Linked DNA regions of Alligator mississippiensis. The protein of the gene in region 1 purifies or fractionates together with the protein of each later gene. This does not show direct contact. Links are inferred from orthologs where the notes say so. Each region holds a gene or a part of one and is shown in the gene's direction. Other genes may lie near its edges. The genes, in order: LIN28A, RSBN1, TRIM71 and YTHDC2.

Region 1 (7,354 bases):
AACTCTGGGGCTCTCTTCCCAACTCTGCCACTGAGTGACCAGGCAAACCTTAGGGAAACCGAGGTACAATCTGCCAAAGGGGGCCGACCACACTCATGCCCACAACAGGGCAGTTGTGAGGGGCTATATAACTCCTGAATTCAGTGCTGTGGGTGGTGATCTCAGCATCACCCTGAAGCCCATTAAAGCAAATGAACCAGTTTCACTGCTTTTGGCCTCTCTTGAGCTTGTTATGTTTTTAAAGGTGACTTGCTAGCAGAACTGGTTCCACTGCACATGAGGTGAAAGCAAAGGAGTCACTTGTGTCTGCACCAGCTGCCTTGGGAGATTGCTGGTGAGAGAGGGAGACTCGCACCCAGAGCTTAGGTGAGGAGTGACCAAAAATGGCTGTTGGGAGGGCTACTTGAGGTGGGTTTTTGTGGGGTTTATTCAAGCTGCCAGAGGACAAATATCCTCTTCTCTCACTTGCACTCCATCCTTGTCAGTAGTGCCAGCAGAAAGGCTGGGGAGTGAGTTGATATGGAGATGCATCTGGCTCCTCTGGATGGTCCTCCAAGGCTCTGAGTCAGTAAAGCACCTGTCTTGTTTGCCGTTGCGAGTTCCAGGCAGGGGAGGAACCGTGCGGATGCTGTACATCAAGAGGACTTCACCCTCCAAGGTTTCTAATGAGGTTCTGCTGGTGTCAGTGCTCCTGTGTCGCCTATGTAAGTTGGTGTATTGGTGCCCATCAATGGACAGACAGAGCAGTCCTCAGTGTCTCCTCCAGGAAACAGCATGTCCCAAGAGGACTGTGCAGAACTGGGCCAGGTCCTGGAGAGAGGCTGAGGCCTGGTAGCTGCTGCCAAAGCCAATGGCTAGTTTGCCTTACAGGAGAAGCTGGGAGGCTTGGAAATGCCTTGGGCTGAGCTACCCTCCCCAGATGACTAAAGGGCATTCCAGGAATGAGCCCTGCTAAGGAAGGGCTTGATCAGTGAGCAACAGGAGCTGCCAGTAAGGGCTGAGTCAGGAGTGGAGGTGTGACTGCAGGCTCTTCTGGAGTTAAGTCCCTACCAAGCTGCCAGGGCAAACCCCCATGTACAGTCCCTGATCTCTCACTCTAATGCTTTTGTGTCCCACACAGATGGCCCCAGCTGAGATGGAGTCTTAGATTGTCATGTGCCACCTCCCTTGGCAAGGCAGTGATGGGTGAGGAAGCAAGATACCAGGTCCCCAGGCCACTGGCACCTCACACTGATCTATCCTCCTACTCAGTTCCTTGTATTGCTGGGGAGAGAGCGTGGAGTCCATTCCACCCCTGTTCACTTTGTACCAGGGCTGCTCTGGACCAGGACCCTGTGCTCCCTCTGAGCATGGTGTCTCCTGAGCTGGATTTGGAGAAGCTTCAGTAAGAAGAGGTCTAGCCCCTCCCCCCCCCAACATAAGACAGCCCCTGCCTGGTGTGATGTTTTCCTTGTTTAGTGCATCAGAAATGGCCTGGAGTCATCCTACAGCCTGGAGTCCTGCCTGGGACAGTGGGACCAGCTCTCCGGAGCAACATTTCCATTATCTGTGTAGCTACTTCTGGGGGGATGAGTGTGAATGTTTGCAACAGCTTCAGGGCTAGAGAAGTGAAAGGTGTCCCCCTATTTATGGACCGTGTGTGTTCTGCAAACTAAGGTGCCTTCTTGCCTCCCATTCCACATACATCGCACAGCTTCATTAGCAGTTATGAATAGCTCCAATTATTGCCGTCCCTCCAGAGAGAACACAACTCAATGGCCAATTAATACAACTATATGCAACAAATCCTTCTTCACTGGACCCTCCCCAGCTTTCCTTTGGCTTCCATTTACATCCCCTTCCATAATAGTCAACCCCATAAGCAAAGATAGTAGGAAATCGGGGAAAAAAATAGAATTATAGACAATGAGTGTTGGAAGGGGCCACAGGAGGTTGCACTAGTCCAACCTCTGCTCAAAGCAGGACCAGCCCCAACTACATCATCCCAGCCAAGGCTTTGTCTACCCAGGTCTTAAACACCTCCAAGGTTGGAGACTGCACCGCCTCTCTGGGGAGCCTGTCCCAGTGTGTTACTGCCCTTCTCTCAGAGAGTTTTACCTAATATCTAACCTCAACTTCCCTTCTGCAGTGGGGGCCAAAACTGGCCACACACTCCAGATGTGGCCTCACCAGTGCCCACTAGAGGGGAAGAATCACTTCCCACGAATAAAATCGCCCGTGGTGAGTGTTTGATGGGCATCAGAGAGATTCACAAGCAAGAGCAGGGACAAGTCCACGCGCTCGGCACCCCGGCAGCTGCTAGCCCCAGACACCAGCTAAGCCTAAAGGAAGATGCGGTTGATTCCTCAAAGAGAGGATGATGATGATAGCCAACAGCTGGTGCAGAGCCGACTGCCTGGGATTGAAGCAGCCCCGCCCGCCGCTAAGCAGCTTTCCTGGCTCCGGACCGGGTCGGGGCACGGACGGTTCACCCGGCGCTGGAGACCGGGTCCCCGGCGTGGCGGCTTCTCCCTGCCCCGCACAGCCGCGGTCAGCACCTTGGAGAGCGGCCGGCCAGCCGGCCCCGCGGCCAGCACCCTGGACAGCGCCGGGACTCGGCCGAGCCCGGCCGGGGAAGGGGCTGCGAGCCCGGGGCCAGCGGCGACCCGGCCGGGGGGACCCAGCGCTGCGGGCCCGGCCGGGGAAAGACCCATCGCCATGCACCCTTCCCTAGCCCCGGGGAGAAGGGGGCAGCCCTGCGCCCCCAGCCTGGAGGGAGAGGGGCATCGCCCTCCCCGCCGTGGGCTGCCCCCTGCCCCGCCAGGGCTGCTCCCACCCTCCCCTCCCCTCCCCGTGCCCCGGGGGCTTCCCCTGATGGCAACGGAGCCCCGGGGGGAGGAGAGCCCAGCCGGGGCCCCCCTGACCCCCGGGAGCGCCAGCCGCGGCCGGAGCAGGTTCGAGGCCGCCCTGAGCTCGCTGCCCGCGAGGGTCCGCGGATCCGGGCGCGGGGGGTTTGGGGGCTCCTGTTCCCACGGGAGGGGCCGCAGACTTCGGGGGCCCGGGCTGGGGCATCTCCCGGGCTCTGGGCGGGCGGGAGCGGGACCTTCCCGGGGACGGGGGCGGGACTCCGGCCCTGACCCCCCGCAGGGCCGGGGTGGCTCAGCGCGGCCCCTTTAAAAGTCCCGCCGCGCCGCAGGGGAAGAGTGCCCGGGCATTGTCCGGTTGCAGCCCAGCGCCGGAAATGGGGGGGGGGATCGGCCCGCCTGTTCGGCCATTGTCCGGCCGGGCCACGAGCTCTCCCGCCCCAGCCCCGGGGGACCCCCGGGCACGCGGCCCCTCCCCGGGGAGCTCGGGCTCAGACCCGCGGGGCCGGGCTAGGGGAGGGGGCGAGCCAGCCTCAGCCCCGTTCCCAGCTCCCCCGGCCGGCCCGCTGCCCCCGCGGGCTTCCCCGGGCGAGGTGCCGCCGGGTCGGGGCCCGCGTGCGCGCAGGGGGCCCGGGAGGCACGGCTGCTCCTGGCTCCGCTGCGCCGTCGCGCAAGGGGCTATTTTCAAACGCGGCCGCGGCTGCTCTCGGCGCCGTCGGGGCGCTCGGGCTCGGGACCCGCTCGCGGGCGAGGGCCGGCCAGGGAGGGCCACGCCAAACCGGGACAGCCGGCCCGGAGCTCCGGGGCTGCATCCCCCGGGACAGCCCGCCCCGTCCCGGCGCGGGGCAGGGCAGGGAAGCAGAGAGGCCTAAGGCGCGGAGCTGGGCCCGGGGGAGGGTGCCCGAGCTCCGTGCCTTCGTGGGGGGGTCATCCATTTTTTTAGGCTTGACAGGTGGTTTCCAACCCTGATTGGTTAGGCGGAGGGGGGGTCTCGCTAACCCCCCTCCCCTGGCCGGAGCACCGAGTGTCCAGGGGGGGGAGGGTCGCGGAGCCCCCAATACAGCGTCCAGCCCCGGGGGGGGGGGGTAGTGAAACTGACCAGGGCGCGGTGAAACTGACCAGAGCAGCCCGCATGGCAGAAGGTGATTCCCGCCCCCAGCCCGCCCGCGGGGAGGGGAGAGCTCCGGGGTGTAGCCGAGGCGGGGGGCAGAGCTCCGGCCTTCCCCATTGTCTCTTAGAATTTGGGATCCTTTGAAAAGCCCCTGGGCCCTCCCCCTCCCCCTGCCATTGTTGGAGTGAAGATGTAGCCGACCTCCCCTCTCCCCTCCTCTCCCGCTGCTGCTGCTGCCGCTGCTGCTGCTGCTTTTTGGCCTGGCTTTATTTATTTATTTATTTATTTTTTTGCTGGGGGTGGGGGGGGCGGGGGCCGAGCTGCCGTGACCCGCCCGGGCCGAGGGGAGGAGGGCGCCCGGCCACAACGCGGGCCTGCCAGTGGGGACAGGATGGGGTCTGTTTCTAATCAGCAGTTTGCAGGTTAAAGCGCTAATATTTCTTACAGGCGGGTTTATTTTGGGGGTGGGGGGTGGGCAGGAGTTCCCGGCCCCACCGTGCGCTCCGTCTGGGGGTTTTGGGGGGAGGGGGCGCGGAGCTGGGGCGGGGGGGGTCCGGGATGGGAGAGCGGGACCGGGCGGGGGCTGCGGCGGTGCTGGGTCCCTGGGCCGGGGTCAGCGGAACTCCAGAGGCCACAAAAAAGAGAAGGCAAAAACTTTCCTGCAACGGGAGGGGGGAGAGCTGAACCCCCCTCACCCCTCCTCGCCCGCGATGGGATCCCCGTGAGCCGGGATCCCCGGGAGTGGGGCCGGGGTCTTCGGCCCGGCTCCCTCTGCCCCTCTGCCAGCAGGCCCCGGCTCCAGGCTGGATCCTGGGGGGGTTCCCCGGGGTGCTCCCCCCTGGAGGGAGCAGTAGGCCCCCCACGGCGCTGTGAAAGAGGGGTAACTGGGACCAGTAAGGGAGAGTAATTGGGACCAGTAAACGGGGCAACTGGGACCATTGTAGTTGGGTAACCAGGACTGGGGGGGGTGATTGGGACTCTGAAGGGGGAGTAACTGGGACCAGTAAAGGGGGGTAACTGGGACCAGTAAGGCAGAATGATTGGGACCAGTGAAGGGGATAACTGAGACCGGTAAGGAGGGGTAACTGGGGCCAGTATGGTCGGGTAGCTGGGACCAGTAAGGACGGGTAATTGGGGCTAGAATGGTCGGGTAACTGGGACCAGTAAGGGGGGTGATTGGGACAGTACGGGGGTGCAGCCGAGGGTCTCCCGGGCCGGGGAGGGGACGGCGGGGCTCGGGGCCGCGGGCTCAGCGGGCTTGGGCCGCATGTTCCCAGGTGGCTGCGCCAAGGGCGGCGAGGAGCCGGCCGGAGACTCCCCGCAGGCGGAGGATGAGCCCCAGCTGCTCCACGGCTCCGGCATCTGCAAGTGGTTCAACGTGCGGATGGGCTTCGGCTTCCTCTCCATGACCAGCAGGGAGGGCACCGCGCTGGACTCGCCCGTGGACGTCTTCGTGCACCAGGTAGGGCGCGGGGGTTGCCCGCGGGGCTCGGCTGGGGGCCGGGGGAGCCCGGCGCAGGGTGAGCCGCTTGGGAAGGAGGGCCTGGGGGCCCCCAGACCAGCCGGGCGGGGGCAGGGAGGGAGCCCGGCCGGAGCTGCCTCAGCCGCTACCGAGAGATTGCTTTCTCTCTCTGTGATGCTCCACCTGGAGCCCTCGGAGCCGGGCAGATGCGGGCTGCAGCCGGCGGGGCAAAGCCCCAGGCGGCCGGGAGAGGCAGCCAGGGCTCTGGGGCAGAGAGCTGGCAGCAGAAGCCGCCAAAGGACAAAGCTTTCACCTGCCTCCAAAGACAGCCTCCACCCTGGCAGGCCTCTGGATGCCCCCCACTCCACCGGCCTTGGCACTGTGCTTGGTTATGCCTTATCCATAGCTGGGGTTTAACCAAGACCCTGGTTGTGGGCCCCAGGCTTGCTCTTAACACGGGTCAAACCCAAGCCCACCCCAGTTGGCACCGAGGCAGGGGCTTTACAGCAGGTGGTGGCTCCAGCTGTCAAACAAAACCCAAAGCACCAACCCACCCACCACCTGGCAGGCAAGGGCACGCGTGAGCACTGCCCACCTGGGCTAAAAACCTGCATCGTTCTGCAGGATCCAGCTTCTGAACTGGGCAGGGTGGTGGGGCAGTGACCACTAGCAGTGAGCAAAGGGTCCAGCCGGGCTCTGCTTGACTGCTTCTGGAGGAGAGCCAGAGGTTGGGTGCTGGCACTCTTGGGGGCGAGGATGGTTTGCCTCGTACCTGCTGCTGCGGCTCTCTGGGCACAGGTCGAATGAGGTCAGTTGGCCAGGATGGACCAGCAAGAGGGCTGCAGCTATGAAGCTATGCAGCTATGAAGCATGGAGTGTGGGTTTTTTGTAGCAAACATGGATTTATTCCCCCAGTGTGAATGGGATCAAAGAAACATGTGCTTGTTCTCTTTATTGAAAAGCCAGGGCGATGCCTGTGGTATGATGCTCTCCCTGTTTCCAGGCAGTGGATATTTAATGTGCATTGACCAGGTGAATTTCTCTGGGAGATCTGAGGTATCCCCCCATGTTTTCACTCGGTACAAATGGAATGAGAGCTGCAGAGGACAGTTGTTTCTGGGGTCTCTGATGGCTGTGGCTGGAAGGGCTCAGTATAGGACTTGCCCAAAATTTGTGGTGGTCAGCGGCTGGGTTTTCATGCAGTTGACCAAGTGTGTGTGGAAAGCATGAGATGTAATAGAGATGGGATTAGAGGCACTGGCTCCAGGAGAGAATTGGTCCCTTCAGGTGGGGCCGGAGTACACTGATGGAACATACAAGCTCCGGAAGGAAAGAAGATGGGAACCTGAATTCCCTTATTGTGGGAGAGGGCAAGCAGCGCTTGAGCACAGCACAAACAGAGGAAACTCCTTTTGTTCTAATTACCGTCCTGCTGGTGGGCCATAAAATCAGCTGAATTTGGAGGCCGAGGATTCCCAGCTCACCTGGGAACACCTAGAGACTTCTTTACCGTTCTGCTGGCGATGCCCTTGCTTCCCCTGCCTCCTGTTGCAGGGGGTCCTTGGGTTTGTTCTCAGGGGGGCTTTGTGACTGGGTACATGGGGGGGCTGGAGTGGACCCGTTTAGGACTCTCTGGATAAAAGGCTGTCTGTGGATGCAGGGAACCAGGTTCTGGCCCAAAAGGACTTTCCAGGACCATGGTGCCCTGATGACCGAGAGTGGTCACTGTGTCCAGTGATGGACGGAGCCAAGTTCTCTGCTAGAGAAAATGGCCAAATCTTTTGTGCCTCTGCGCGGTGTGTGAAATTCAATGTGAGCCCTGAGTAATGGAGTCTGTGGGTGGGAATCCTCCATTCTCCCCAGCATTTATGGCCCCCAGACAGTCTAGTTTTCTGATTGCCGGCACTAACATTCCTGCACAAAAAGAGAACAAGCCAG
Region 2 (7,395 bases), on another chromosome or scaffold:
AAATGGTCACTGCCTCCTAAAGAAAGCCTTTCTGTTTGTTTCTAGGTATCTGCAGCCCATCTGCATTGGCAAAGCCACGGGAGCCTACCCAGACAAACCACTCCACCTCTTTTCTGAATTTTGGTATGTTGTTTCCCCTTCTTCCCTTTCTCTTTGGATTTTTGGAACATTGACTATAGACTTTTAAAAGGCTAAGTGCAGACGTTGTAGCTGGCTCTTGGCTAGTGCGAGGAAGGTGACGGAACTCTTCACAAAAGTGTCTGCATAGATCAGAAGCATCTGTGACTGAACACTTTTCACTGCAGCAATTGCCTACTCTTCTGTGTGACTGTTTAGCTCATGAATACACAAAAGAATTAGAGGCTTGAATTTATTTAAAGCTGCCAGTGGCCTTATAGCTTAATTATTTTGACAAAGCTGTTTGTTTGTTTGTGTGCTTGTGTAACATTTGGGAGTTTATTGATGAGCTATGTATGACCTACATATAAGGGTGGAATATTCACAGTAGAAGCTCTGTCATACGCACTGAGGCAATAGGACATATTCTGCTTGTAGGCACATCATTCACTTCCCTACATAACACCAAACCAGTCCGGATTTGTTGCCTAATGCTTATAACATAACAAACCTTGGGTAATTGCTTACTGTTTAAGTGAATAGGATCTTTCAGCCCTGCTGTTATTGTGACTTAATTGTATTTTGTTAGCCACATACTGTCTGAAACTCTATACTTTGTAAAATTTGTATAGCCCTCCATATGGAAACAGTGAAGAGGAAGCAGCTGTCAAAAAAAGGCTGCTATTAGAAGTATTGCAAATGACTGGAGCTAGTTTGTTTCAAGACTGCTTCTAGATCGGCAGCTCCGAGGGTGCTGTAAACAGTCCTCAAATACAGGGTGCTTAGTGTCGCCGTGTTTGCAGGCTGGAAAATGAGGGGGAGCTGGGCAGTCAGGGCTGCTAATGCCACAGCACTGCCACACTGCATACTTAAGCTGCATTAATCGTTTGCGAGACGTTTGAGTAAGCGTATGCTGGGGTGGGCAGCCTTGTCGCAGTCCCTAGCTATGTCGGACTGCACGGTGCTTGTCAACACATGCAAGTTGCACAAACAACAGACATGTGGCTGGTTGTGACAGGATACAGCTTGAATGTGGCAAGGGGCTGCAGAAAACAACAACCAATCAGTACTGAATGGTTACACATTTTGCACGGAAAGACTGAGTAGCTACAGCCTGACCCTGTGTAAATCATGGGAGAGAAGCTGTATGTCATTTAAATGCTGATTTTAAGGGAGTAGTTGTGTATTAATCAAGAGGCACAGAACCTTGTTGATATGTCCTTGATATTCTTGTTATAATTGTGTTTGCTGGCAGACATTCTGCTGCAGCACAACTGTATTTGATTATTTAGCGCCAGAGTTACCTATAGCTGACCTGGGGAATCTCATGGTTGCAGAGCATTAAGCCAAACAGATTTTTAAGACGGAGACAATGAAACTTTCTTGTGAAAACAGTACCCGTAATCACAGGAGCAGGGCTCAACCCCAGCCAAGGTCCCTTCATAGTATATTAATGCAAGATTTCATGCTTTAATGCTTCTTCAAAAACGTCTGAGGTTGGTCAGACACTGAGTTTGGATAAATTATTGGCCTTGTGACAGTATTTGAATGAACTTAGCATTATGGACTTTTAAACATCAAGCCTGCTACAATTTCTAGTTTTTTGAAGTGCCTTAATGGGCCCTGCACATGGATAAATGTGATCATGCTTCATAATACCAGCATTTCTGTCACTGTAGTTAAATAGTGTGATGTGTTAGGATTAATAGAGCACATAGTGTATTTAAAGCCCAAGTCTTTTTAAATACTCTGAACATATAGAATAGGAGAGCAATGTGAAAATCACAGTGTGTTTACAATACTTATGAAAATAAATATTTTGTTCTTACTCCTAGGCTTTGCAAAACGATTTTCAAAACCTAAAGGACCAAGAAATCCTCCACCATCGTGGAATATTTAAATAAACTTTGTGGACGCGGTACTGTAGATTTGCCATATCCCTCTGACACATCTCAAATGCTCTTCAAGATGGATCACCGTCAAAATATAAAAAGGAAAAATGCCTGTGTTGCGCAGTATCTGCAACCAGGGCATAATGCAAACATCTGTTTTTATCACCTAATCAGTTGTAATATGAAGAGGGATGCAGAAATGAGTAGCAGCTGCCTGGCACTTGTAGTTAATGTTTGACCTTGGCAAGACGGTGCTCTGTGGTGGCTGTTGGAGGCGTCCTGCCTGGGCTTTGTCCATTAGGGACGTGTGGCCGTTTTTTAACGTCTCCACCCACTCATAGACCGAGCGATACGGTGAATTCACCGAGGTGGCGCTCCTGTGGGCCACAAAGACAGCGACAGAACGCTGTTCTTCTTTGCACACTGACAGCTGCACAGCCTTCTTGTTTACATGCTCGCTAGCCGTACACGTGCTTAGCACGAACGCTGGCTGCATCCAACGGCCGCCATCAGTGTTCCCTGCTGCTGTCTAGTTTCCCACTTTGTTGCAGACACACAGTGTGGGTAGCTATTTTGCCTTTAGTTTCCAAAACGTTCTTGTACATCAGGCTGGAAACTAAAAACAAATATGAAACATGGTGTCTGAAAGCAAACTGAATTATTTTGGAGCCTGGGCGTTCTTATTTTTAAACGAGCAGGGTCATTTCCTCTGACTTTGCAGTTTAATTTACCGTAAGAAAATGGGTCTGATTTTCCTGTCCCAGTAGTGTCACCTGGGTGTGATACGTCTATGATGTGACTGATGGCCCTGATCCTCCAAATGCTTCAGCCTCTGCACAAATGTACTTGCGTAAATAGTTCTCTGGCAATTTGAGTTAGGCACGTGCTTATCTGTTTCCAGGACTGAGGGCTAAGGGAGAAAAAGCCTTTCAGATTTTAGAATTCAGGTATTTGGCCAAGTATGTTAACATGGTGGTGCTTTCCGTTCAAATTAATTGGGTAATTTTCTCTAAGCGTCTGTCTGAAGTCTGTTTACGATGATGACTGTTCACGTAGGAACCAAGCCTGCATGGAAACATGCTGCATAGTCTGCTGAAAAAAGTTCACGTGAATGAAAGTGTCCATATGCCTAGTTTTGGCCTTTAAAAAAGTCACAGCGTTAAGGTCTTTAACTTGCCAAAGCCTTTTGATGCAGACACTTAGAAGATAAGTTTCCTAAAATCTGAAAGCTTCTTTTCTTGCTATTCATATCCACGGAAAAATGTAGACGTTTTACAAACCGTTCAATGTATTTCGCTGTCTTCTAGAAAAACGCTGGCTTGGGAAATGCAAACTATGCAGGTGTTTTCAGGGCCTGATGCGCCGTTCGGCTCCCGGAGGAACTCGGTGATGATGAATACGGGATAGAGAGGCATCCCGCTGGTTCAAAGCTGGGGAAAGCGGGACCCCCTAAAAGTGCATGGACTGTTTTTCTTCCAAGTCAGCTGTTTTCTAGCATTGCAAAAACTATTGAAATGAATTCTCTCACACATTTACTAATTGTAGGTCTTCCTTAGTTATTGCCAAAGAACGAATATTGCTGAAAGATGCCATCCTTTTGTCCTGCGCCCCGGCCCCGATCCCAGGTGAGTGGGGGGAGGAGAGGGGTTTTGTTGGAGCCCCAGGCCGCACGCGCGGTGCCTGTGGCGCTAAAGGAACGGAGGCTCTTTGGTTTCACTCCCCTTCATGCTGGCCCTGAGCTGGGCGCAAGCCCCGAGGGGGGGCAGCGAAGGTGGCCGCACCAGATCTTTATGCTCTTTGCTCGAGGGCAGCTGGGGGCTCCCCCCCCCCGGTGTAAATCAGATCCGCCTCACGGTCATCCGACAAGGACCCGATGTCAAATCAGACCTGTAAAGAACTGACACATCTTTCCAACTTGTACTGATTCTGTGAAGTGTTTTACCCTGCCTGTGAGATGCTACGTGGAATAAATGTATTATTTATGCAGCGCTGTTGTTCTGGATTGTCATTTGTTATTCTTGCACGTTTTGTGGTTGTTCTTGCACACCTTGTTGCACATGTTGTTGTTGTTGTTGTTGTTGCGCATTACGCGATGACAGGCCGTGCGAGAGCACACGTGCTTGCTGCGCGCCCAACGCCTCCGCGCGAGCGCGCTGGGCGACCGTTACGACCGTTGGCCGGGGAGGGGTACCCACGTGACGGCCCCGGCCTGCGTGCCTGGGCGCACGCTCCTGGCGCCGGGCGCAGGGGCGGGGCGGACTCGGTTTCCCGGCGGGCCCTGCGGCGGCGCATGCGCGGCCGGCGCCGGGCTTGGGCGCGGACTACAGCCCCCAGCAAGCGGCGCGCGGCGCGTGCGCGCTGGTGCCGGACGCTCGGGCCATTTAAATGTGTGTGAGGGAGCCTGCGAAATGGCCGCGCAGGTCGCTGCAGTGCGCGCCGTGTCGCGGGCCCCGGAGGAGCCGCCCCCGCTGCCCCCGGGGGACCGGCCCGGGCGGCCTCGCGGCGGCGGGCGACGACGGCGGGGGCCCGGCGCCGGTGGCGAGCCCGGCGCCAAGCGGGCCCGCCTGAGCCAGCCGCTGCTGGCGGGGCCCGGCCCGGCGGAGCCGCTGCCCGGCCTGCCCGCGCCCGCCGCCGTCGGGCTCTTCACCTTCTCGCCCCTCAGCCTGCCGCCCGCGCCGCCGCACGACGAGCGCCACCAGCACCACCGCCCCCGACCCGACGGCCCCGAGCCCGCGGGGCAGCCGCCTCATAAGGCGCGGCGGGCCAGCGCCGGGGACGGGGCGGCCCCGCGGCCCGCCAAGCGAGGTGAGGGCCGGGGCCGGGGGAGTTGGCCGGGCCAGGCCGGGCTGGTCCCGGGAGGGCGGCTGGCGCTCCGGGCCCCCCTCCGCTTGCCGGGGCGCTGCCGCGGGCCGGGCCAGGGCCGGCTTCTGAGCCCCGCGCGCAGGGGTGGCTTGGCTGGGCTCAAAATAAAGCACGCTTCCTGCCCCAGTGCATCGGCTGGGCCCCGTGACCTGTCAGCCCCGGGAAGAACTGACCAGAAAGTGGCAACTCTGAGTCTGGCCCTCGTCTGCGAGCTGGCTGCTGTCCGTCCCGGACTAGGCAGCGTATGGGAGCCTCGCAGCCCAGGTGCTGGAGAAGAAGCTGTTAACCAGAAGAACTTGGCTCTGCCAAGCAAGGGCCTCTCCTGGTTTGTCATCTCGTGACTGACCTCGCAGCTCTGCAGCGGCTGCCAGAGGTTGTCTCAGGCCTCGGAAGTGCAGGAGCCGCGGGGCGTTCCCGACAGGGCAGTGGCGGGGGTGATAGGTCTGGCCGCGAGAGCAGCGATCGCACGCCACCAATTTAAAACGACACAACCTTAAGTACCACCAGCACATTGATACCGTACTAAGTAATTGTAATAAATCTGTTGACACGTACCACTGACGGGTTGTCTGCGTACCCATGGTGGTACCCGTACCACAGATCGGGGAACCGCTGCTCTAGAAGGACAGGCCTGCGTAGTGGAGAAGCAATATTTCTTATAGCAGGCATATGACTCTCTTATCTATAGATTTCGTAGACATTAGGGCTGGAAGGGGCAGTGCGCCATCCCCGGGTCCAGCCCCCTGCCCGTGGAGCAGGAAGCCAGCAGGGGTCGGATCACCCCAGCAAAATAAGCATCCGTTTTGACAGGCTCGGTTAAGGAAACTGTTTCCCAGACGAGTCGCTAAAACCGTGATCGTGTTCTGGCTGGCATCAGTTGATTAAGAGAAGTCTTAGAATATTTCAGTTTTTTTGGAAACTGGGAAACTACACGTTGAATTTATGAAGTTTCTGGCCCGTATCCTAAAAGATCCATTAGGGGTTATGAATAGGATTTTAAAAAGAAAGAAATCTTAGCTAAGAAAATACTTTGAGACGGCATTGAATGGACACACGAGTAGTGAGATCAGTTTTTATTATAGTACCAAAAATAAAGATTTCTTGGGGAGGCTCTTGGTTATTTTACTTTAACTTTAAAAGCTAGTGTAACAATACCATTTTGTTAGTCTGAGCTCCACGGGGTGGGTCTGAAGCAGCGGTTCCCAACTTTTTTATGCTGAGGACCGGAAGTGACCGTGGCCTGGCAAACTGCGGCCCAGCCGTGACCGGCAGACTGCAGGCAGGCATCCAAACCTTTTTTTATATTCAGTATAAAAAAGGGTTGGCTACCAGTCCACAGTATGGCAGTCCCTTCCAGTCTGCTGTTTGCCGCTCAGTGGTCACTTCTGGTCCGGCAGCTAATCCTTCGCGGCCCGGTACTGGGACATGGCCCTGGTCTAAAGAGATCAATTTGCAATGTGGAAGTACTGCTTAATCAAGAGGGATATTCTGTATAGTTGTGTGTGATTGTATATAATATGCCATGCAGGTATGGGGGGGGGGTGTAATTATACACATACATGCACACGTGTATATGGGGGTTGGACTAGATGAGCTCTGGAGGTCCTTTCCAGCCTTACTTCTCATTGACTCTATGTAGGTGTGTATGTATGTGTGTATGCACACAGTATACTTGTGTATCCTATATTAAAGGTTTATAAATGGAAGTAAGGAGAAAGATGGTCTTAGAGGTCAGGCAGAAATGTATATGTGATATATCAGAAGTCCAGCTGAGAGTATTACACCAAGCACTTTTTTGACATTTTCACAAACTGCAAGAGAAACATTAGATCGCTTCATTCTCTTGTTCTCCATCTAATTTTGACGAGGGAATAGTTGTTATTGATGCTTCATTTTAATTTGGCCTCAAACTAAGACTTGGGAATGTGTAACTTTGTTACCTCCTCCAGTGTGTTTTCTTTTTAATAGCAGGAGCCTAGGAATGTATTGGGTTTTCTTTTACGTGTGGAAAAGTTGAGAGATTCTAGTAGTAAGAAGAAAGCATTTTATAATAAATTAGGTGAGACATTTATATAAAAATCATAACAACCCTAACAGGCCTTTAGTTTTAGGTTTAGTAAAGTGATGCCTGTTCAAATGCATCATTTAGCAGATGTACTTTCTGTGCATCTATGCCTCTAAAGGATTGGGCTGACAACCTTTCTTGCTACGGCTGGGCTATTGCAGAGCCCTCGAGGTTTGACTGTGGTTATGAAACAGACCAGAGCCTTTACTTAAACACGTGGCCTGGCAAAGCTCTGAGGAGTTTCAGAAGCACTGGCGCTGTCTTTCTGGAGAACCAGGAAGACAACTGTGCATCCATTCTCGTTTAGAGCTGTAAGAGCTAGAGGCTTCCTCCCCACCTTGCGTGAAAATACTTTTGTTAGTATTTATGCCGACTGAAACCCATGTTTGCCAGGAAAAGCTTCTTTCTTGCTGAGGGCATGGAGCTTTTTGTTCTGTGTGCACACAGATGCAGCAACAG
Region 3 (7,612 bases), on another chromosome or scaffold:
AAATGCCTTACACATTTTTGGGGGAACAGAATTTCCTTCTAAAGAACCGGGGTAGGTGAGCTGATCCCTCACACCAATTGCTCCTTAGAGACTGCTAGAGATGTCAGCAGCCATCTGCAGGAAGGCCCTATAATATCCATGCACTGGTCCCTTTGCATCCTGTCAAGCATGATTTATGCAGAAACCACATTGATACAAGCTCTCTGAAGGCCACTGATGAGGGTCCTAAAGGGTGCAAAGGGTGAAAACAGGCAAATGAATTTACACAAAGATCATTGTCTTGATGGGGGAGAATGTGCTGTGTAGACAGTTCCTGGCCATGTCGTGGAATTATATCGTATGGGCAGCTCTTCCACTTTCTTTGCTTTCTCTCAGGATAGGAGCTCAGAAATAAATGTAAGAAGTTGTGTTATGAATGTACTTGCTAATTAATCCATTGACAAGTGTCTGACTAAGCAAGAGTCAGTGTGCAGGAGTGGGCTTTCTTAGCTGGCACGGTAAACTTGGTATCTCGGACATCTTTTCAGAATGTCCTAGATTGAGCAGAGCTCAAAATCAGAGCCAGAAAGAAGAACTCAAACCCAAGCTCTCCAGGCTGAACTGAGATAGTGCAGCAGAGTGTTTAGACTGTTTGCAAGCCAAGAGGAGATGACACATTTCTCATGGCCTTGTGTATTGTACAGCTTTGATCATGCTGTTCTGGATCACAAAAATATTATTCTCATCTTGAACTTATTTTGCAATATGTCATGAAAAAAAGATTATGCCAACTTCAGCCTCTTGCTAATATGTGTGGCAAATAAGGAGTTATTTTGGATATAATCCAGTTGCTAGAGCAATGAAGGCAACAATAAACACTGTTTGTCTGTTCCCCATTTGCAATATTATGTGGATAATGAGTCAGGGGCAGCAACCTGACTTAGGGGCATTCTTAAGGATGTCACAACAGGGAGGACTGAGGGTACTGTGTTTCATAATAAACCTATTCAACAAGAAGAGGCTCTGGTTTTGTTTGCATCTTTGCAAGAACCTAGAAAGTACCATGCTAGAACAGTGAACTACAATCGCAGCTTTTATGCCTGCAAACTTATCTTCTGCAGGGTAAACGTTTCTGGGTCTCCAGAGAAAAAGCAGAAAAAAAATCAGATCTATATGCTGACGGCTGCCAGTGCACATCTAAAGACCGAATGAATCAGACGGCAACCACCATTCACGGGGTTTTAATACTTCAACACCGCACACTGTCTTACCACTGACGAAGAACTGGCCAAGTATGACTGTAAAAACTGACAGTCTGCTGGACGTCTCTACCTAAGGTTTGAGGACTAAAAGCTTTCTGTCAGTGTTCGTCTATAAAATTATAAGCAAATACCACAACATCTGCAACAACCAATCTTGAGTTTTTACTCAGTTTTGATTAAGCTTTTAATCACTGGGTCCAGGTACACTGCTTTTGCTTTTCTAATTTTGCTGGGACACTGCAGTGTCAAAACATAGCTTTTCCATAACACCATTAATAAAGATAAGCCCCTGCAACATGTATTGAGAAAAGCATGCTCCATTAATTTGAGGCAGATGCTAACAAATGGCTTAAGTGCAGTTGCTTTCCAGGCCTAAGGTACAATTCTCCGCTGCCTTGAAGGAGGAACAAGGGGTATGGACACATGTATGTTTAGAGCCATTTCAAAAGGGGAATGTTGCAAAAGGGCAGCAGCTGTCACGTTCCAATTGTTACATGCAGAGAAGCTGTGGAGAAAAAAAAACAAAACGCTTCAACTTTTCACACTGGATGAAGCGGTGTTAAATTTGGAGCAGTTTTGCTATCTTTGCATAGTTCCTGGCTTGTTCACATGTAACAATTACAGCATAACAGCTGCTGCCTTTTTTGAAATGTTCCCCTTTTGCAATGGCTCCAAATGTTTGTGAGACAATACCCAAGGTGTAAGTGTCACACTGAGCCATGGCAGCCTGTGCTAATAGACTATTATTGCTGTTGTCCAATACAGATTTTCAATGAAAGGAATACTGAACCCAGATCCTTAAAGGATTTGGCCACCTTATGATTCTCCTAAATACCTTTAAAGAACTGGGCCATTCTCCTTGATGTTAGGTTATTATAAGGTGTAATTGGATTAAAAATAAATTATTGCACAGCCCCAGCTCTGACTCGTGGTCTGAGACTAGCAGTAGGAATGGCATTTTAATTTATACTTCAGTGAGGAAAAAAAGACCCATAAAAGAAAATAATAAAAACATTTTGTATCAAACTCCAAAATGCAGAAAACACCTGCAGATAATAACGGAGGCAATTGTCATTTATTTGAGAAAAAGCAATCGTGGTTTGACAATTGGGATATACTTTGTTGTAATTAAAAAGGAAGATATGAAATATTAGTTACCCAGGGAAAATTAACGGCCCTCTCACATTGAAGGTTCCCATGTTGTACCTACTATTATGCAGTTAGACGGATCCATGGTCACAAGATCAGACAATGAACAGTAGAGGTTTTACTACCTTTAGGAGGCAGAATAGTTTTTAGTATAACAAAAGTATGCTGATTTAAAAATGTGGGGCTAAGCATACCCAGTAGAAAAATCCATTATGCTATTAACCATGCAGTTAAAGATAGATGAAGTACATAGGGAAGCTCAAGTACTTAACAGTGGAGCATGGACCTCACCACTTTTAAAAGTAAATGCAAAGCAAATTGATCCAGTTTAGTTTTACTTGTTTTTTTTTCTTAAGTAAGATACAAAAGCCACCCTTCATCAACATAAGAAGCTTTCTCCAACATTCAAAGGGAGGAATGAGAGATTCTTAGTTTAGAAAATAGAAGTAGGTGCTCAGGTATGAAGGTGATGTGTGTAGTATAGAGTTTCTGTGGACATACAGCTCTTTGCTTACAGCCATTTCTGCTGCTGAAGATACAGGATCTGGCTATAAACTGTGAGGTTTAGCAGCTTTGGAGCAAGATGCACTGAATCTTTCAAGAGTCTAGGAGCCTTACACACTACTTGTGTAGCACCAGGCACCCTGTTGGTATGCAAGGGAAGAATTCCTTTGTCCATGTTTGTTAGTCGAGCAAACCAAACACTTGCACCGTGGAAGGTGGGAATGTGAGCTGTGCATAGAGACAGTGTTGGGGGAGACTCTTATCTGAGCAACCCACAGAGCACAAGCCAGTATTAGCTATTCAGTGAACCAGTGCACTTTGTATCCTTCCATTTTTTCCTTGGGGCAAAACAAACTAAACACCAGGATAGGAAAATCAAATGTAAAACAGAATTTTTTTTGCAACGTTAACTTAGGTACCTTAGACAGTGGTTTACGTAGCATAAGCTATGCAACGTATGGAGACATGCTAAATACACCATACAGATATGTAAGTCCATACCCTGAGGACATCGTATGCTCTAGGAACACGATCCTGTAAACATTCATGGCTTTGCCTGCTTTAAAGCAGGGGAGCAGCCCATGCCTGCAGCTTGGTCTGCATGTGTGGAGCCTGATGCTCTTGGGGAGTCCCTCTCTATTCAAGGAAACTGCAGGCAAAAGGGCTCTTCACTTGCAGGTCATGTTGCAGCAGCAAATAAAGTCTCATGTTCTGCAAAAATGTAAATGTGTGCTTAATGCTAAACACGCAACCTAAGCATGGGCATGCGGATTGTGTGTAGGACCAAGGCCTGAATAGGCAGGAGAAACTCTCTGTGGTTGTTAGGTTTTTTTAGCCTGCTTTTCTTTTTACCATTTTGCCCAATTATGTTGCTATCTTCTACTTTCTTGACATTTATTTCACACCCCTTTGTTTGGCATTTGTGTTAGAGATGAAAATGTTAAGGAGATGCTATGCTGCATCTTTCCTGCTTTGGGGTTTGATTTTTTTTTTTGGTTTCTCCTATCCTATTTTCACGATTTGTTGACCTCTTCCCTATTTCCCCTTGTCCTTTCCAATTGCAAACCTTCAAGTATCATTCCTTATTTAACTGATAAGCCAGAGGACAGTCAACGTGGTTGTGTTAACAAACCTTAACTTTTGGAACAGCCTGGATTCCCTGTGTTGGATTAAAACTAAATATTTGGTGGTTAAAAAGATCAAAAAGGGGGTTGATTTTTGGCAACCTGAACACTGCCTTTCCACCACTTATTTACCACTTATTCTCTGCTTCATGAGCTCTTAAAGGAAGTTTCTGTTCCCTGTCCAGCAATTGCCCTTAGAATCTTTTTATTTTTTCTGGTTTAAATCCAAACAGGGACAACATTTTAATGCAAACTCTACAGCCGTCAACTTAAAAAAAACCGAATAATTCACCAGGACGTTACAAAAGTGTCCTATTGAGAGCTGTCATGTGTCCAACCCTCTCTTTAATTCAAGGGAAGTTCTTTTTTGAAAAAGAAAAAAGAAGTGTGACAGAGAGTTGTTAAAAACGGGGGAAAGGGACAAATTTTTTATAACAAGCTACTGGAGGGGATCCAATTAGACTGCATTAAAAGATGGGGAGGGAAAGCCTAAAATGAAGCAGGCTCCGCTTCTGTTCAACGGATCTGGAGGTGAGGGGGGACAAGTGAGGCTCAAGGGCTGGGAAACAAAGGGGTGGCAACGTGAAAGATAAGCAGCCCTCCCACAGCCCGGGGAGGCGGAATACTAGAAGATTCAGGAACCTCCGGCTCTCGAGGAGGCAGCGAGCGAGGAGCAAGAGGGTTAATGTTTCCTGTTTGCCTTCAGCCCCCCACCCCCGCCCCTCAGCCTCCCCCCGGCGCCCAGGCGGAAGTGAGCGCGCTACTTCGGAGATTAAAAGGGTCCCGAACTCCGATCACTTTCAAGAGCAGGCGGCCGGAGAGCGCGGAGAGGCAAGGCCGAGCCGGAGCCGGAGCCGGGGCAGGAGCGCAGCCCAGCCCAGCCCAGCTGGAGGAGCCCCCGGCCGGGAGGGGCCACCGGCAGCTCCCCCGCGCGATGGCTCCGCTGCAGTCCCGCGCCGCGCAGCGCAGGCTCCCGCCGCCTCAGTGAGTCACTGCCGCTAATTGCAACCCGGTGCCGGCCACTTGCTGGGGGGCGGGGGGGGAGCAGCGAGGTGAAGAAGCGGCTCTTATTTTTGGACCGTGCTCGCCGCCGCGTTTTTTTTCTTTTTTCTTCTCGATTATTATCGTTTCTCGCCCCCTCCGCAGCCGCGCGCCGGCACCCGGCGAGATGACAAAGGAAATGTGATCCCGGGGGCTCGGGCCGGGCAGGAGCAGCAGGAGGAGGAGGAGGAGGGGGCGCGGGACCGGCGGCAGCGCTCATCTGTGCGAGCGGACATAATACACCTCCATGAATAATTCAGGCCGGCCGGCGGGGACCTGCCGCCGCTCCGCCGCCCGGCCCAGCCGCCCGACCGCCGCCTCCCGCCGGCGCGGCTAGGAGCCAAGTGGAGCAGCCGCGTGCGGAGGACCGCCCGGAGGCGCCCCTGGCCCGGCTCGGCCCCCACAGCCGGGTCCCTGCGTGCTTCAGGCGCCCACTGCCTCCACCATGCGGTGGCGGAGCCGGCGTCGGAGGGGGGCGGCGGGAGCCGGCCCGGCCCCGCTGCGCTGAGCCCGCCCATGCGAGGCGCCGGGGCCCGCAGGTAGCGGCAGTCCAGTCCCGTCCCGTCGCGTCCCGCCCCCCATGGCTTCCTTCGGCGAGGCGGACTTCCCGGTGTGCCCGCTGTGCAAGGAGGCGTGCGGCTCGGCCTCGTCCAGCTCCTCCTCCTCCTCCTCCTCTTCCCACGGCGGCGGCGGCGGCGGCTCCTCCTCCTCCTCCTCCTCGTCGGGCGGGGGCGGGGGCGCCCCGTCGCGGCGGCTGCACGTGCTGCCCTGCCTGCACGCCTTCTGCCGCCAGTGCCTGGAGGCGCAGCGGGGCGCGGGCGGCGGGGAGGCGCTGAAGCTACGCTGCCCCGTCTGCGACCAGAAGGTGGTGATCTCGGAGCCGTCGGGCATGGACGCGCTGCCCTCCTCCAACTTCCTCCTCAGCAACCTGCTGGACGTGGTGGTGGTGGCGGCGGCCGCCGAGGAGCACAAGAACGGGCGGGCCGGCGCCGTGGGGCCGGGGCAGGGCCCGGGCGGCAACAACCGGCACCACCGCCCGCCGCACCGCGCCGCGCCCCCGCCCGCCGCCTCGGCGGCAGCCCCGCCACCCTCGTCCTCGTCTTCCTCGTCCTCGTCGTCCAGCGCGGGCGGCGGCGGGGGGGGCGCGCCGTCGGGGCCGCTGCTGCTGCGCCGGCCGCACAGCCGCCAGGGGGAGCCGCGCTGCAGCTCGTGCGACGAGGGTAACGCGGCCAGCGCCCGCTGCCTGGACTGCCAGGAGCACCTGTGCGACAACTGCGTGCGCGCCCACCAGCGCGTCCGCCTCACCAAGGACCACTTCATCGAGCGCTTCGCGGCCCCCGCGCCTGGGCCTGGGCCCGCCGGCGCCGCCCAGCTCGGCCTCAGCCCGCCCTACCCCGCCGCGCCCTACAGCATCCTCTCCGTCTTCCCCGAGCGCGCCAGCTACTGCCAGCACCACGACGACGAGGTGAGCTCTTGCCCCCTCCCTCCCTGCTGGCCTGTGCCCCCCTCCCCCCAGGCCTAGGACCGAAAAGAGCCAGGTAAGGCAGCATGGGGGGGACGGGACTTAGGTTTCAAGGCTTCTGGCTCCCGTGCCATGAGCTGTGGTTCCCTCCCCGTTTAACCTCCTGCTCTCAAAAGCCTGAGCTGTTTCCCTCCCCAAAACCTCCAGTTTGACTTCACTCCCCGGGATGCTCCTGCTTCCAAATGCCCCAGCCGGAAGGGGCTTGCTGGGTGGTGCCGCTGGTCTTCTCTTTTAGTCACAGATGGAGATGTTTTAGTCCCCACCTGAGCACTCCCCTTCTACCCCTCCCCCCCATGTCACTGGCTCTGAACAATTAGATCAGATCAGCTGCTGGCTTAAAAATGTGGCCTTGTGACCACATAAGGCCTACAACTGGCTTCTGCATCTGGGCAGGTCTTTGCTTCATTCAAAGCTTTGGCCGTTTCCTTGCTTGCTTCCCAAGAAGGGACCTCCCGGTGTATTGTTTGTTTGTTTGTTTGTTTGTTTGTTTGTTGTGTGGTAGGAAAGCATGTGAGGACAGGGGTACCACCACAGATGTGACCTGTGGTCATTCTTGCAGAGCTCTTGAACTGCATGCAAAATTATTATTACTATTCCTACATAATGTGCTTTGAAGTTTTGCACTTGGGTCACATTAGCAATTTAAGCCCCATCCCTGCCCCCACCAACTTGAAAACCTCTTTGTCAAAACCTCTATTGTAAGCTGAGTTGAGGGGATATGGGAGCACTTCACATGTGCACTCCCCCTTCTGCCCCAGGGTAGAAACCAAGTCTTAGAAGTCTATTTAAACTGCCCCTTTCTTGGAGGGGAGAAGGGGTTGTTTTGTCTTGGTTTGGTTTGTTTCTCCCTTTCAAATGCAAGTAATATTCAGGCTGTCACCACTTAATACAGTAAAATTGATTGCAAGAAATCTTTCCCTGAGCTTGAAGGAACTCATAAAAAATACAAAGGTGGCATCTACAAAGTGTTGGTGTTGCATTAGTGATAGGAATAATGCAATTAAAGAAACAGGAAACTAGCAAGTAGGTGT
Region 4 (7,613 bases), on another chromosome or scaffold:
AGAGCTGCTCTGGTAGCCAGCCCTGGCCCTTGCTCAGGTGCTGAATCACTCTGCCTGCCTGTGTGGGGCAACCAGTGGTGCAGGCTGCAGGGACCTGGACCTGGCTTCATGGCAGGTAAGTAGGAGGTTGGGGGGGCTGGAGAAGGGGGGAAGGGAACCATGTGGAGGCCCTGCCTGGCCCCAGCCCCCCTGTGAGTTCCTCTTGCCCCCGCATTCATTCCCTCTGCCCTGTTCATTCCCTCAACTCCTTGTTCATTTCCCCCGCCCTGTTTGTTCACCCAACTCCCCGTTCATTCCCCCGCGCCCCCATACATTCCCCCAACTCCTTGTTCGTTCCCCCTGCCCCGTTTGTTCCCAACTCCCCATGTGTCCCCCCCACCCCCTGTGGAGACGAGCCCCTGGAGACAAGCTGATGTTCCGTTGCTCATCTCCAGCCTCCTCCTCGTTCCCCTGCTCATTTCCAGACAGCAGGGAAAATGAGGGGACAGCACGGGAACAAGCAGGAGGTTGGAGATGAGCAGGAGGCTGGAGACAAGCAGGGGAACGTTTCCAGCTTGTCTCTCCAGCCCCAGAGAGAGGGAAAGGAGGGAAGGCTCTGATTTTTTGTTTGTTTCTTTCTTTTAACAAATTAGATTAAGAGACATTCTAAACTTTGATGCTTTGGTCAGTTATTGTAGAGTCTGGAGGGATGTGGTTGGTCCTAGGCTGAAGAGGTAGCAGAGGCTTTTGGCCTGGGACCCTGGGTCTATTCCTGCCTCCCTCCACCAAAGAGGGAAATTCAGATAAGAAGGGGGAGGAGGCAGCAGGGAAGACTGTGGACGATCATCCCAGTCCTCAGGGCCAGGCCGGGCCGGCTCTTGCGGTTCCAGTGCTGCAGCCAGGAACTACGTGGTGCCAGGGCGGGGGACAGGAGGGTAGAGAGGAATGATGGCAGTGGGCAGAAAAGTGGGAAAGTGATAGGGGCTGGGGAGTGGCAGTGAGCAGGCACATGGGAATGCAGCAACAGCTAGGTGGTAGTGCAGGGCCCATGCTGGTGCACTGGGGCCAGCACCGGTGAGGGCCCAGAGCAGAGCATCAGGAGCACAGGGCCTAGGCTAGCAGGGGCTGCATGGAGCTGGGCTGGGCTGCACCAGCAGGAAGATGTGGGAGCCAGGCCAGCTGCCAGCCTGCACCCCACTCTGCCTGCTGCACTCCCGCCCAGCTGTCACTGTGCTCCCACATGCCTGCGTGCTGCCGCTGCCCTGCCACCTGCCCCCAGACAGCGGTGGCAGATGGGGGGAAGTGGCGGTGAGTGGAAACACAGGTCCCACACCAGTGCCCTGAGGTCAGGAGTGGCAGGAGCGCGGAGCCGGGGCTTGGAGAAGCACTGGCTGGGGCTCCACTTGCTGTGGGAGGGCTCTGGCCAAACCCTCCCCCTCCACACATGCTACAACCCTACCCAGCCACCCTCCCCCACAAACCCCATACCCACCCACACCACACACCCCATATGCACCCTTACCCCACATACTCACACTCCCATACCTATCCATCCCCTCACAAACCCCCCACACACCCCCACACCTCACATACCTACATACCCACAGCCCACCACAAACCTATACCCACTAACCCACAAGCCTATACCTCCCCACACCCCCAATATACAAAAGTAAAACTTAATTTTAAGCTATTATACAATCACCTCTTATGTATGCTACACAAACACATGTAAATCAGGGCAAAATATTTTTTTGAAATAAAATTAATGAATGCTGTAGTAGATATTTGATTTTTAGAATATAATTTGGAATTTTTATGGTTCCGAGATGGCAACCCCCCTTGCTGAAAGGAGTACTTCTTGGGGGCAAGGTGAGGGACTTCACGTGGCAAAGGTCAGGGGTTAGAAGGCGGGATTTCTGGCCCCAAGATAGTGACCAGGGGGCAGGGCACCTGTGAAGGGGCAGGGCTACCCTTGCGGCCCCCAACAGTTGCCAAAACTCGGTAAGTGGCCCTGCACCCAAAATAATTGCCTGCCCCGACTTAGGTAGAGTTTGTATGGTAAGGTATTTGGAAAATAGTATTACAATACAGGAAACTGAGAAAATATTACATAGAACCTTTGAGACAACGCAAACTTGGAACACCCCTGCCATTTTATGATCATTTCCCAGAACCCAGCTGTGCCAATCTGTAAGAGCCCCGGTACACATATCCCGGCCAGGTATTTGCTAGGTATTTGTGTCTGGGTCTCATGCACCCGTGTGTTCTTTAAATTCTCTAGTTCTGAGTATATTCCAGCACTGTCTCTTTCCTTGATCCTTTAAACACACTTCCTAGGCATAACCTCTCTCAGAAATGGGTCCTCTTAGCTGTATATAACAATAAAATACCGGTATGTATTTCCATGCTTCAATTTCCTCCCCATTCTTGAGCACTCTTTGGGTTGTCATGGTCTTGTAGGGTTTCATGATCATTCCTCTCATCCATGTGAGGTCTCTGGACTGTGGAGCCGCTCTCTCCCTAACTCTGGTGTTGTTACGTAGATCAGCTCAATGCCTCTGTTTCATAGTGCTGTTGGTGTGGTTTTGAGAGCTGCATTCTCTCATTTGCTTGTAGTTTTCATACGTACGTATGTAGTTGCAGGACCCATTTGTTGGGAATCAGAGCAGCGCCGGCAGCTGCTTTCTGACCCCCCCCACCGGAGCAGTAAAACTTTCACCTGACAGGCGGGTAGTGATGGATGGGGTGAAATTAACCAGGCACAGACGCGTGTTGGTTACAGGAGATTGTTTACTTACGTCGCCCAGATAGTGACATGCGACGCAGGCTGAGCCTTTGTTCCTGTTACAGTTGCATCGATTACAGTCAAACGTATATCAAGCAATGACGAACGAAGCGCACCGAGAACGGACTATTGAGCCTGCAGGGCTTTACTACGTCAAAATTAACGATGACGGGGAGAGATTGACAGCTGATCAGACTGTCAATCTACTCTGGTGATGGACTCAGGTCTCTCCTCAGAGGTTTCTCCGGGGTTCTCCACCTGGGCGGAAGTTGCTAAACTATTTATAGACAGAGGTGTCTGACGGAGATACCCAATGATGAACCGTTATGTGGAATCTTTAATTTTCTGGCAAGCAGCAGTTCTTTGTGCTCTCAGGTTGCTATCAGGTTACAAGGTAGTGGGTTAGGTTTTCTGCCTGTTATGTATGAGGTTATGATGAGGGGCTTACGCTTGTTTCTTGACCAATTGCAGGGATTTATGGCAGGGCTATCCCCTTTCACCCTGACCAGTCTTAAGTTTCGTTTCTTGTTTGTGACGTGGGCGTAAATTATATACAGCTCTCCGCCAGGATTTTGTTTCAGGAGTTTCTAGCAAGGATTTTTTTTTTTAACCCTTAGTTGACTACTTGAATGGTATCTCTTGCTAGTGGCATGGGCACTGATTCACTGGGTTGTGACACCATTCTGATCTAATTTTGACCTGCCTGCACTCCTGTACAGAATCTGAGACCATGGCAGGAGGACACTAATCATGGGGAGTAGTTGCTCCCATACCTTTGAAAGTCTATGTACATCAAATGTATGCAACAGAAACATTTTCTTGTAAAATAAATAGAGATTGCCTTCCAGTTTGATGCAATATGCCTGACAAAGGGTATTTATACCCGAAAGCTTGCAAAGAAAATGTTTTCCAACTATTTGAGTTGGTCTAATAAAAGATATCAGATTTACCCAAAGAACCTTGTCTGCCTATGTCCTTATGCCAAAAGAGCTACAACCCATACCCATGCAAAATGCTGTTCATTATTATATTTTCCAAGTATTACTTGTAGTGTTTTTCCTGTACAGCAGCAGTTCTCAAACCTTTTTGGCTCAAGGAACAAGTTGGAAAAGGCCAGCTTTTCGTTTTGAACCAGTGTGCTACTACGGGCATTCCCCATGCTTCTGGGCTTTGCTGGCTCCCCCACCCCCTCTTTCTGCCACACTGTCAAGTGATTTTTAAACCTCGCTCAGAGGCAATGGGAGTTTTGGCTGCAGCCAGGACCAGAGATTTTGACTGGGCTGTGCCAATGTTCCTGCTTGGATGCGAGTCAGAGGTTTGTGGCTAGAGGGTCTTGCACCCCTGCCCAGGGTCTGACCAACTGCCATAGTTGGGGGCAGGAAGGAATTTGACCCCGCGGCCAGACTGGTACGACTGTGGGGACTTTACCTTCCTCTAGCAGGCTGCAGCCCTCTGCCTAGGCTCTCTTGAGCACATACTGACGTGCCACAGAAGCAGAACGCTGGCTGTCCAGGGGCCCCCCGCTTTACGCGGGGCCGGTGAGGGCATTGGGACTGTGTCAAGGCTGAGGGCAACCTAGCGCAGAGCTGAGGCGAAGCCTGCTCCTGCCTCGGCCTTACAAGGGCAGCGGTCCCCCAAGGCCCCAAGGGTCACGTGACTCAGAGCCACAAGCTCAGCAGCTGCGAGCGGCGCCTTGCGCCTCCAACTCCCCGCATCCCAGCACCCCCCGCGGCAGCTGCTCCTACTCCGCCCCGCCCGCTGCCTGGCGACGGCGCCGCAGCCGCCTGCCCCGAACACGTGCTGACGTCAGAGCGCTGCCGCGTGGCCCCGCCCCTGCCTCCGCTCCCGGCTGCTTTCACTTTTCGGCCCCGTTGCAGCCCCGCGGTAGGATGTCGCGGCCCAGCAGCGAGTCCCCGCGGCCTGCGCCGGGCGGTGGTGGCCGCGGCCGGGCCAAGGGGCTGCGGGACATCCGTGTGGACGAGGAGGTGAAGATCGCCGTGAACTTGGCCCTGGAGCGGTTCCGATACGGCGACCAGCGAGGTGCTGGCCTGGGACCTGGCCCCACCCCCTCCCCCTCAGGCGCTGCCCACCCCCCCCATATTTATTCACTTTCATATATATTCATTAATACATAAGGCGAGGCCTGTGTGTACCTGTAGACTGGAGCCGCAGTCTAGAGGGGTGGGCCAATGAGGCAGCAGCACATATCCCTGTAGAGTGTTAGTGGTTGTCAAGCAAGTTGGCAGGCTGGATCCGGCCCATGGGGGCTCCTTCCCACGTGCAGCCCTGTATTCAAGGCCCCCACCTGTATTCAAGCCTCCCCCCCAAGTCCTGATTGGTTCCACCCCGGGAAGCAGAGAAACTGAGGGGTTTGCTGGGCCTCCATGAGAAGGTGATACGGCCCCAGCACTTGTGACAAAGATGGTGCAGACCAAACTTCCCTCAGTTACAGCTTTGCAAAGCCAATAAGCTGTAAAAATATGATAAACGATTGCCTTAAGTAGTTGTGTCTGTAAAACTAATAACATAATTTGGCCTTACACTAAAGTTGCATTTCATGGGGAGAAGAAGTTTGTTGAAACAGGACATTCCTTTTCCATTGTTCTCTTGACTTGCCAGTGCTATTAAATATAAAATGTAGAAAAGTATTATTTTGGTCACTGAAGTTAGAAGAAAGAGGGTGGCTCTGTTGTGTTGTTGTCTCTGACTTTTTTTTTCTTCTTAGAAATGGAATTTCCCTCTTCTTTGACTAGTACGGAACGAGCTTTTATTCACCGACTGAGTCAGTCCCTTGGCCTCATCTCCAAAAGCAAAGGGTAAGCCGTTACCTGATTAGCTCTCTTAGTCATTAGATGTGAACATCTGCCTATCAGTTAGATGATATTGTATCATTTTGGTGCGTTTTATATCATAGCCAAGGATTACCATTCTTTTCCATGGGAAAATCCCTGAGGGTAGAGGCATTGATAAGAAAAAGAAACAGAAGTTCCTCGTGGGTCTCTCCTAGCATTAGTCCTCTTCTTTTTTTAAATGTTTGTATTCTTTAATTGTTGAAGGAATTGGAGATCCGCGTGGTTTTGGAAGATGTGTTCTCTCACTAGCTTGTGGTTTATATATGTACATAAAGGAAGGTTCTTTTGTTGTAGTAGTGGGGCTTATTCTGGTCTAATAGTAGCATCTTCCGCCCGCACTCCTGTATGGGATCCAGGACCTTGGTATGGGACAGCATCATGGAAAACATCAGTTCCCATATCTAGAAATTTGGAGAGCAGGGCCTTCAGAAAGGAGTTTGTTGTAGGTGCATTCATATCTAGGAGATGGATTTACCCCATTCTCTTTCCCCTCTCTGATGCCCTAAGAAGGGAAGAGGAGCTCGATGGACAGAGGGCCCCTTTTATGTTCAGATAAAATGATGAACTGCATATACTTCTAATAAGCATCTCAGTATTGCCAAGTCTTCAAGGTTTAAAAATATTAAGGCAGTAGAGCGGGGAAAAAAGACAAAAACTGGTATCTGCAAGGCACACAAATCCCTAGATGTTATTGACTTAAGAAATAGGAAGCAGTTTCAGAAATGTTTCCCCTGTACATAGTCTCTTCTTTCTAACACAGCTTCTAGACAGGGGCCATCCTTGTTCAAAACTCTGATCATAGTTTGTTCTCATCACTCCAAACTACTTTTACTGAACAGCAAAATCAGTATTTCAAAACAAGTTGTAATATCACTACTGATGACAATGGTATTATTGGGTTGCTACTGTGACTTATCAGCACTTGATATTAGGGTATCATGCCAGGAATGTTTTGTATCCTCATTCTACTTTCATTGTTGGCCTCGATTAAAATAAAAAGGAACCTTGTGCTAAACCAGTGATTCTCAGGCTTTTAAGGATGCTATGGGGTGCTGTGCAATATTCGTGCTGTGTTAGATGTACACATTTCTAACACATGATTCAAAGTGACCCAGGCATTTCAAATAGGGATCCATAATGTCCAAAATATTTTGACCTGTTGTGGTCTTTCTAAGTTCTTTGCAGCAGAAGAATTGCTCTTTTGTTTTTTCCATAGTTAAGAAATGAGTAAAAGCTAAGGTCTGGCCTTTGTGAAGAGTGCTTTGAGTCTAAAAAGCTTGAGGACCACTGTGCTAAAACTCTTTAGAAACAAATGACTGAGTTTTACTTCAGTGCTGAGTTGAACACAGAGAATGAAGTGGATATAATCATCCACAATTCTAGCAAATATGTGCTTCTGTAGGTTGGTTAATGGATTGTGCTGCCTAGAAGCAAAGCAACTAGAGCTGTAACATACTAAAATAAACACTCCGGGAGAACTATTGGGCTCCTGAGATAAGTTTTAAAGCAAAAGAAAAATAATATTTAGTGTTGAAGTAACTTTTGACTGTGGATGCTTTAGCAGTGCATTGTAAACTTTTTATTTCCAATTCCAGAGCGCAACATATGCTATCTGACTGAATATGCTGAAGATTTGAAGTCTCTTGCATATGGACTCAATGTGTTTTATTTATTTTTTTCTTATGACTGCTAAATCATGAAAACATAGAAGACTCTTAAACCTACTCAGACCCCTAGGTTTATGGGGACATTGTAACAGAAATCTAGTGTGTACGGTGGAGAAAAAAAAGGAAACTTTGGAATGTTAATACATTTAAGAATCAGAGTGCTTTCTTCTTAGAGAAACGAATAAATTGAGAGAGGTGCTCATAGCTGGAGGGATATTTTGGTAGCATGCTAACTTTATTTATTGCATTGATTTATAGTGCACCTGTAAATTAGAATTATAAAAATGTTTTGCTCTCTGCTTAGATTTCTTTGCTGTGCTTCATGCA

The links.
Region 2: the proteins of LIN28A (region 1) and RSBN1 purify together in Homo sapiens (co-immunoprecipitation; 3 studies listed by BioGRID and IntAct, with this or other methods). This does not show direct contact. The link is inferred for Alligator mississippiensis from reciprocal best matches to the Homo sapiens genes LIN28A and RSBN1.
Region 3: the proteins of LIN28A (region 1) and TRIM71 purify together in Homo sapiens (affinity purification with mass spectrometry; 3 studies listed by BioGRID and IntAct, with this or other methods). This does not show direct contact. The link is inferred for Alligator mississippiensis from reciprocal best matches to the Homo sapiens genes LIN28A and TRIM71.
Region 4: the proteins of LIN28A (region 1) and YTHDC2 purify together in Homo sapiens (co-immunoprecipitation; 3 studies listed by BioGRID and IntAct, with this or other methods). This does not show direct contact. The link is inferred for Alligator mississippiensis from reciprocal best matches to the Homo sapiens genes LIN28A and YTHDC2.

Annotation. Positions count from the first base shown.
Region 1 is NC_081829.1:3,104,581-3,111,934, reverse strand, and holds the start of LIN28A (protein lin-28 homolog A), read left to right. Parts: upstream 1-4,345; coding exon 4,346-4,376; intron 4,377-5,231; coding exon 5,232-5,416; intron 5,417-7,354. UniProt on the Homo sapiens protein: RNA-binding protein that inhibits processing of pre-let-7 miRNAs and regulates translation of mRNAs that control developmental timing, pluripotency and metabolism.
Region 2 is NC_081837.1:45,408,893-45,416,287, forward strand, and holds the start of RSBN1 (lysine-specific demethylase 9), read left to right. Parts: upstream 1-4,386; 5' UTR 4,387-4,417; coding exon 4,418-4,814; intron 4,815-7,395. Other genes in the region: PTPN22 (tyrosine-protein phosphatase non-receptor type 22), read left to right, coding at 46-123, 1,953-2,017. UniProt on the Homo sapiens protein: Histone demethylase that specifically demethylates dimethylated 'Lys-20' of histone H4 (H4K20me2), thereby modulating chromosome architecture.
Region 3 is NC_081828.1:141,971,878-141,979,489, forward strand, and holds the start of TRIM71 (E3 ubiquitin-protein ligase TRIM71), read left to right. Parts: upstream 1-4,602; 5' UTR 4,603-5,639; coding exon 5,640-6,524; intron 6,525-7,612.
Region 4 is NC_081826.1:226,732,505-226,740,117, reverse strand, and holds the start of YTHDC2 (3'-5' RNA helicase YTHDC2), read left to right. Parts: upstream 1-4,596; 5' UTR 4,597-4,656; coding exon 4,657-4,807; intron 4,808-5,492; coding exon 5,493-5,583; intron 5,584-7,613. UniProt on the Homo sapiens protein: 3'-5' RNA helicase that plays a key role in the male and female germline by promoting transition from mitotic to meiotic divisions in stem cells.